2 linked regions of the Lonchura striata genome follow. The protein of the gene in region 1 purifies or fractionates together with the protein of each later gene. This does not show direct contact. Links are inferred from orthologs where the notes say so. Each region holds a gene or a part of one and is shown on either strand. Other genes may lie near its edges.

Region 1 (3,744 bases):
GGAGTGACAGACCTGCTGCAGGTGAAAGCTGTCCATGAGTGATGGCACTCAGGACCAGGACAGCATCACAGGTACCTGTTTGTGCCTCTCCCGGGCTCTGCTCCAGGAATTCCAACACTCTTTCAAACAAAAAGAGTCAATACACCTGCTGTGAATGTTTTTTTCCCAAGAAAGTGACACCGAGCTCACTGGCCTGAACAGACTCTTGCCTGATGACTTCTGAATTCCCAAAAATTTTGGAAAACTGAATTAACCAGCAGAAATTCAAAGACACACCTATCAAGGACAAAAAAAATTAACAGTTCTCTGTCTTGTTGGTGATTAACTGATGTTTCAGTAGACACACACACACATGGAGGGATATGCTGATATTTGGAATAACAGCGCTGACAGGGCCAAAAGAGCTGCACAAATGACTGGACCAGGCCCGCCCACTCCTCCTGACACAGATTCCAAGAGAGGGGAATAAAAGAGAACAGAGCTCCAAGGCCAGGCTCACTCCTGTCATTCTGTGTTAGATCAGTGCTGCCTAAATGCCACTCCAGCACATCGTGAGGGGCACACAGGGCACTGAGCTGTCCTTGGCTTTGGTTTCAGCAGCACCACACACCTCCAGCACCTGCAACATTGTGTGATGAGCAACGGGGAACTACAATATTGTATACACTGAAATACTGTATACAAGCACAGAGAGCTGAACTGAAAACCAGATTAAACAGCAGCTGTTTGGGATTTGATCCTTCAAACAACAGAGTTCTCCCTGAGAGTCAAACCACGGGGTCAGGCTTGTTCAACCAAACCTCCCTCAGATCCTGTGTCTACAATAGAATTGTGATACCAGTGACTGGACATTGCCATCACCCTCTCTTTGGCACACTGAGCCCCCAGAGCCGGCTGTGCCAGGGCAGCAGTGACACCCAGAGCCGGCTGTGCCGGGGCAGCAGTGACACCCAGAGCCGGCTGTGCCGGGGCAGCACAGTGACACCCAGAGCCGGCTGTGCCAGGGCAGCACAGTGACACCCAGAGCCGGCTGTGCCAGCAGAGCCGGCTGTGCCAGGGTAGCACAGTGACACCCAGAGCCGGCTGTGCCAGGGCAGCACAGGGACGCCCAGAGCCGGCTGTGCCAGGGCAGCACAGTGACACCCAGAGCCGGCTGTGCCAGCAGAGCCGGCTGTGCCAGGGTAGCACAGTGACACCCAGAGCCGGCTGTGCCAGGGCAGCACAGGGACGCCCAGAGCCGGCTGTGCCAGGGTAGCACAGTGACACCCAGAGCCGGCTGTGCCAGGACAGCAGTGACACCCAGAGCCGGTTGTGCCAGGGCAGCACAGGGACAGCCAGAGCCGGCTGTGCCGGGGTAGCACAGTGACACCCAGAGCCGGCTGTGCCTGGGCAGCACAGTGACACCCAGAGCCGGCTGTGCCAGGACAGCAGTGACACCCAGAGCCGGCTGTGCCGGGGCAGGGGCCGCAGGGAAGGCCGCACACGGCGTGTCCCATCCCGCACACCGCGGTGATGCTGCGGAGGGCCGTTCGGGTACCGCGGGGCTACTGAACGCCGGGGTTATTCCCCGGGATCAGGCCGCTCCTGCCCCACCGCAGCTCTGGGGATGGAGCCCCGCAGCCGGGCATCCCCCTGGCCGGACCGTGCCCGCCTGGAGCTGCCCCGCACCGCCCGGGACGCCATGCCGCCATGGTGACAAGGCCACGGATGCCGGGGCTGTCCGCACACGCCGCGGCGGCCTCCGGGCCGCGGGATATTACCGGCTGCGGGCGCAGGCCGCGGCTCCGCCCGTGGGCAGGGCCGGCCCGGTCCGGGCGGGGCAGGCGCGGTCCCGGCCCGTCACCGCCGCCTCCGGACTCCGAGCACCGCGAGGGGCCGGCGCCGGCCGCGGCCTGAGGCGCCCTCGCGGGGCGTGCGCCGCGCCTACAACTCCCAGCGTCCCCCGCGGCGCCGAACAGCAGCGCGGAGCCCTGCCGCGACGCGGGGGCTGCTGGGAGCGCGAGTCCGCCCGCACCCCCCTCTTCCACCCCCGCTGCCCGGCCGCGCGGCCTGCGCCCAGCCCCGCTGCCCTCACCTGGAGCGGCCGGGGAGGAGGAAGAGGAGCCGGGGAGGAAGGAAGGGCGGGAGGAGCAGCGGGACGGGGCGGCCGCGTCCTCGGGATGCAGGCGGCGGGCGGAGCGGCGGGCTGCGGCTGCAAGGGGATCCGCTCCTGCCTGCTCTGCGAGGGGCCCGCGGCGGCCGCTCCGCCCCCGCAGGTACCGGGGAGGGGGCGGGCGGCGGGGCGGGGCGGCGGGCGGAGGAACCGGGGCGGCGGGGCGGGACCCCCGTGCCCGGAGCGGGGCCGGGACGCCGGGGTCGCACGGCAGGGACGAGGCGGAGCCCCGCCGGTACCGTGAATTGTTGGCCTCAATAAGGCGCGGAAGCCCAGCGGGAGCTCACCTGAGCCTCGCGTGTTACGTTCGCGTTCATTTGTTACGGCTCAGCCTTGCGGCCCGCGCGATTTTCGTCAACTTCCCTCATTCGGCATTTATCGCTACGACAAACCGTATCTCTGCAGCAATGCCCACCATTAATCTCCTTATACCTGTGGCCCTGAGCATCATCGGTTCTTCCCTGCCTTTCCAGGATAAAGACATCACTAGGGGAAAAAAAGTGGCTTCAAGCAAGCAGCACGTTGATGCTGCAGCTGGAAAAAAAGAAAAAAAAAAAAGAGCAGGGAATAGCTGTTTCCCCAAAACCATCTGTAAAATTTATCTTTCCTGCAAGAATACCGTACAGTTTTCATGCTGCAGTAGCAAGGTTGCAGGGGTAAATAATGGAAATATCTTATTGCTTTCTTTGTTCTTTTCCGTTGAAATTTCCACAGGGAGAAGATAATTTCACTTACTGTCCAGCAACAGGCCTAGCTAAAGGAAATGAGCACTCGGAATTTGCTGGCTGGGCATTTCCCTTTCCAGGGGTGTTCCTGGTGGAGGAGTTCATTAGTGAAGATGAAGAGTGTGAGATAGTGGAACTGATGGATCGAGATGACTGGAAACCATCACAGTCTGGCCGAAAGAAACAGGTTGGACTTTGAAAGCACAACACATCTTAGATACCTCTGGAAAAGTAAAGCTGTTTTCAGTTAAAAGCCAAAATATTGAGATGCTTCATTAAGTGTTTTCCTTTGAAAGCTTTTCCTGAATCAATGTCAAGAATTACCTGTAATTAAAATCAACTTCTTGCAAAAACTCATGATAGTTATAACATAACAGAATTTGATGGTGTGTGTTCAAGCATTAAAGTTCACACAATCTCCAAGGGAAAGAGGTGGGTGTTCAGATTTAGTTTTACTTTATAAATCCAGAGAGATTAATGTAGATTCACTAAGTCCTTTTGCAACCTGGCAACCAGGTCACTGGAAAGAGATGAGAACAGAACTCTGCAGGAACAGCCTCTCCAAAAAGACTTGGCCTAGATTTTTCCTTTACACTAGCTTTTCCCTCCCTCTTCTTTTCCAACAGGACTATGGGCCCAAAGTGAACTTCAAGAAACAAAGGCTGAAAGCTGGCAGCTTTACCGGCTTGCCGAGTTTCAGCAGGAAGATTGTGGCACAGATGAAGGCCTGTGCTCTGCTCAGTGGTTTCTTACCTGTGGAACAGTGTAACCTGGACTACAGACCAGAGAGGGGCTCTGCCATTGACCCCCACTTTGATGACTGGTGGCTCTGGGGGGAGCGTCTGGTCAGCCTGAACCTGCTCTCCA
Region 2 (3,744 bases), on another chromosome or scaffold:
CAAGAAATCCAAAACTCAGAGCCTGACAAAACCAGCAGGCAACAGTTGTATAAAAACTACACAATCTGAGGCAAATAACTTTTGGAAGCACTGGGTTGGAAGTGAACCTATATAACTTAGTAAAACAGAGAGGCAGAAAGTTCTGACTTCAGCAAACTATTTTACCACTGCAGTTAAATTAGAAATCACTGAATCCTAGAGCCTGCTCACTCACCTGTACTGCTGCTCCATCCCAAACAGTTTTCCAGCAGCACAGTGGTGACAGAATCTTTCACGTAAGATTTTTTGCACCTAGGGATGTAACACAGCGCAGGAAAAATGTCTGGGGCTCCAAACACCAGAATTTACCAATCATGTAACTCCAGCAATAAAATAACAGCAAATTAGGTGCTTTTGTGGTGTTAGAAAATATTCTATAATACATACATTTTTACTGTTACCAAGGATAGAATGGTCTTGAAAGTAAGAATAAAGTTGCAGGAGGCAGAGTATTGTATAAATATTATATAAGGGAGAAAAAGCAATTAGAAGATATTAAAACATATAGGAAATCACTGATCCAGGGGTAATTCCTTGCAAGATGCATTACAGTTTTTAACCAGCAACTTTGAGAAAACAGGAGAATAAAGGTTAAAAAAACCAAAACAAATTAAAAACTGATTTGGCAGCTGCTGTTCTGTTGCTAAAAATGTCACCTGGGTTCTGACTCACCCTACAAACTGGAAGATAAGAAAACCTAAATGGTCAAAAATAGATTTAGGCAAATCTGTTGCCACAAAGAGTTGCAGAAGTACAAGAACATCCTTTAAGTTTTTTACTGCATTATAACAGTAACACTTGAAGCAATCAACAGGTGGGAAGCTGAAACACAGGGACAAAAGCTATTTAGTGCCCTAACAATTGTATCTGCCAGGCTTTATAACTGGCCTAGGAAAAAAGATAAATTATATCAATGGCACAGGGTGGAAAAGGTCCAGAATGTGAAAAGAAAGTAATGAATAAAGGTGTTACTGACCTGGGAAATGTTCTCAGCACTTTCTGCACTGCTCTCCTTCAACTTTCGCTTGTTTGTTGCAGAATGTTTCATCTTTGGAGAAGAGAAAATAAGCATTTCATTAATTAAGCATTTCCAAACAATCCCAGTCCGAAACTGTACTTAGATGTCGATCATTTTTAAGTACTGTAATGAACATCTGTTCTTAACTAATAAAGATGCAACAGTCCATCTCCCTAGTGAAAAACAGCTGAAAAACACTGAAATAATTTTAAATTTATTCCTGATAAACCTATGTTGACACACATCTCCTAAACAGCACTGGCTTTAGGATGCTTTAGGCAGTTTAAAATAATGTCCTTATGTTTCTGCAGCTGGAACAAGCTACAAGCACACGGGAACACATCAAGACAAACAGTTAAGTTTTTACAGGAATAACTGGTCATCCTTGTTTATAACATTAACCACAGCATCTCTCTGGACAAGCTGGCTCTGAAGGGGTCCTAAGGGGATTGGGGGGGTCTCTAAAGAGATTTGGGTAGATTCAGAGGGGGTCAGGGGGGAAAACTTTAGGGATTGGGGGTCCTTGAGGGGGATCATGATGGGATTGAGAAGTTTGAGAGGGTTCTGAGGGGGATTCAAGAGGGCCTGAGGGAGGCTCTAAGGGGGATTTGGAGAGGAATTACAGGTCTTGAGGGGGACTTAGAAGTGGTCCTGGGAAGGGTTTAGGGGTGGTCCTGAGGGATTTGGAGTGAGGAATTTATGGGGGCTAGGAGGGTCTGGGAATGCTCTGGAAAGGAATGGGGATGGGGGCGAGAGTGTCCATGAGGGAGCTGGGGAAGGGCTGTGGGAATGGGGAAGGTGGGAGGTCTGATTTTTCGGGGCTGGGAGAGTCCGTGACGACCCTGATGAGGGAATGGAGATACCTCAAAGAGCTTGGGAGGGTCCATGAGAGGCTGTGGGGGCGCTGAGGGCGGGTTTTGGGAGGACCCTGAGGAAATGGGGGGAGGCCCTACAGGGCTTGGAGGGTCCTGGGGTGCTGTCCTGGGGTGCTGTCCTGGCCTCACCTGTCCTCCCCTCACGGCGTGTCCCGCCTCTCCTCCATCACCCGAGGGCGGCCACCACCGCTCGCACGCTCCCCTCAGCCCTCACCGGGCAGCCAAGACCTCCCCCCGCCCCAGCAGCCATTCATCCCCCTCAGAAACCGCTCCCGCAGCTCCCTCCTCACAGGCTGTAACCGCGGCTCCCTCAGAGACGCCGGAGCCCGAGCGGATGAAGGGCGGGCGGTGGGGCGCATCCTCCGCTGCTCGGGCACGTCCCGCCCGGCTGAGGCGGAGGCTGAGGCGGTGGCTGAGTTTGAGGCGGAGGCCGGCTCTCCCTCACCTGCCCGCGCTGCCCTCACGGCGCTTTCCCGCCTCTCCCCCCCCCCCCCCCACCTGAGGGCGGGGCCCGCCGCGCACGCGCGCTCCCACCGGCCCGCGCGCGCGCCGCCCCCCTGACGTCACCGCGCGCTGCCCGCTGCCCTCCCTTTCCCTTTCCCCCTTCCCCTCCCCTCCGCTCCGCTCCCGTCACTTCCTCCCCGTCCATTTCCATCCCCCCTCATCCACTTCCTTCCTCCCCATCCCGGATCCGTTTCCGGGAGCGGCGCGCGCGGCGCTGTGGGAAGTCGTCGTCCCCCCCCCCCTCACCCCCCACCCCCCCGTTTCCCCCCCCCTTTCCTCCCCGCGGCCTCCCGAGCTCCCCCGGGGCGCATGCGCGGTGGCGGCCGCCGCTGCTGCCTGCCCTCCTCTTCCTCCTCCTCCTCCTCCTTCTCCTCCTCCTCCTCCTCCTCCTCCTTCCCGACAGCGGCGGCGGCGATGAGGAGGAGCGCGGGGGGGGGCGGCGGCGGGACGGCCGGTTGTTCGCGCCGCTGAAGGGACGCGAAGCAAGCAGCGCCGCGCCGAGGCGGGGGCGGGGGGCCCCGAGTCGCTGCCCCCGCCGCAGCCCCGCCGGGGAGTTTCTTCCACATCCCCCCTCAAACACACACCGAGACCGCCCCCCCACCCCCGTCCCTTGGGGGCGGCCCCGCGGAGCGCCGCTCCCTCCTCCTCCTCCCCCTTTATTACCCTTTGTGTGCGTCTCCGCCTTCCTCCCCGCGCCCGGGGGCCCTGAGGTGAGTGCGGGGGGAGCGGCGGGGCGGGGGGGGCTGTTTGTTTACCCCGCGGTTACCCCCCGTTTGCCCCGGGGGGCACCGCCTGTCACCCGGGGCCCCTTCCCGGCGCCCCCCGCCCCAGCTTTGTTGTCGGGGGATGCTCCGGGGATGCTCCTTGGGCCCCTCCGGAGCGGCACGGGAAGGGGGGTGATGGTGGCGGGGGCGCCGGGCAAAGTTCGGGGTGGCGCGGTGGGTGCTGAGCCCCGGCCGAGTCCCGAAAGTCTTGTTTTCCTGGGATAACACCCAGCCCCGGCGTTGCCCCCCCCCAGGTTCCAGGCCGTTGTTTGACTTATTGTTTGAGTTATTAAACCCCTGCGGTGGTGAAGGTACAAAGACCACTTGTACAAAGACCCTTTCCCGAGCTCAACTTCCAGGGATAGGCAGTCCAGGAGCTGGACTTGGTGTTTGCAGGGTTGGGATGTGGTTTGGTAGCAGCCCCTGGTTATCGGTGGTGCCCGGCTATATTTGGTCAATGGTTTGTTGGGATATAGATGTCGGGATGTGTTTTTCCATGGCTTTCTGCTGGGAAGGCCAAGCGTCTCCATCCCCGCTCACGGTG

The links. Proteins that work in one complex are often made in the same cells at the same time.
Region 2: the proteins of LRWD1 (region 1) and ORC4 purify together in Homo sapiens (affinity purification with mass spectrometry; 3 studies listed by BioGRID and IntAct, with this or other methods). This does not show direct contact. The link is inferred for Lonchura striata from reciprocal best matches to the Homo sapiens genes LRWD1 and ORC4.

Annotation. Positions count from the first base shown.
Region 1 is NC_134622.1:5,607,183-5,610,926, reverse strand, and holds the start of LRWD1 (leucine-rich repeat and WD repeat-containing protein 1), read right to left. Parts: upstream 2,160-3,744; 5' UTR 2,075-2,159; intron 1-2,074. Other genes in the region: ALKBH4 (alpha-ketoglutarate-dependent dioxygenase alkB homolog 4), read left to right, coding at 2,160-2,255, 2,867-3,064, 3,504-3,744. UniProt on the Homo sapiens protein: Required for G1/S transition. Recruits and stabilizes the origin recognition complex (ORC) onto chromatin during G1 to establish pre-replication complex (preRC) and to heterochromatic sites in post-replicated cells.
Region 2 is NC_134610.1:2,483,221-2,486,964, reverse strand, and holds the start of ORC4 (origin recognition complex subunit 4), read right to left. Parts: upstream 2,412-3,744; 5' UTR 2,292-2,411; coding exon 2,223-2,291; intron 2,178-2,222; exon of another isoform or gene 2,062-2,177; intron 1,088-2,061; coding exon 1,016-1,087; intron 292-1,015; coding exon 215-291; intron 1-214. UniProt on the Homo sapiens protein: Component of the origin recognition complex (ORC) that binds origins of replication. DNA-binding is ATP-dependent. The specific DNA sequences that define origins of replication have not been identified yet.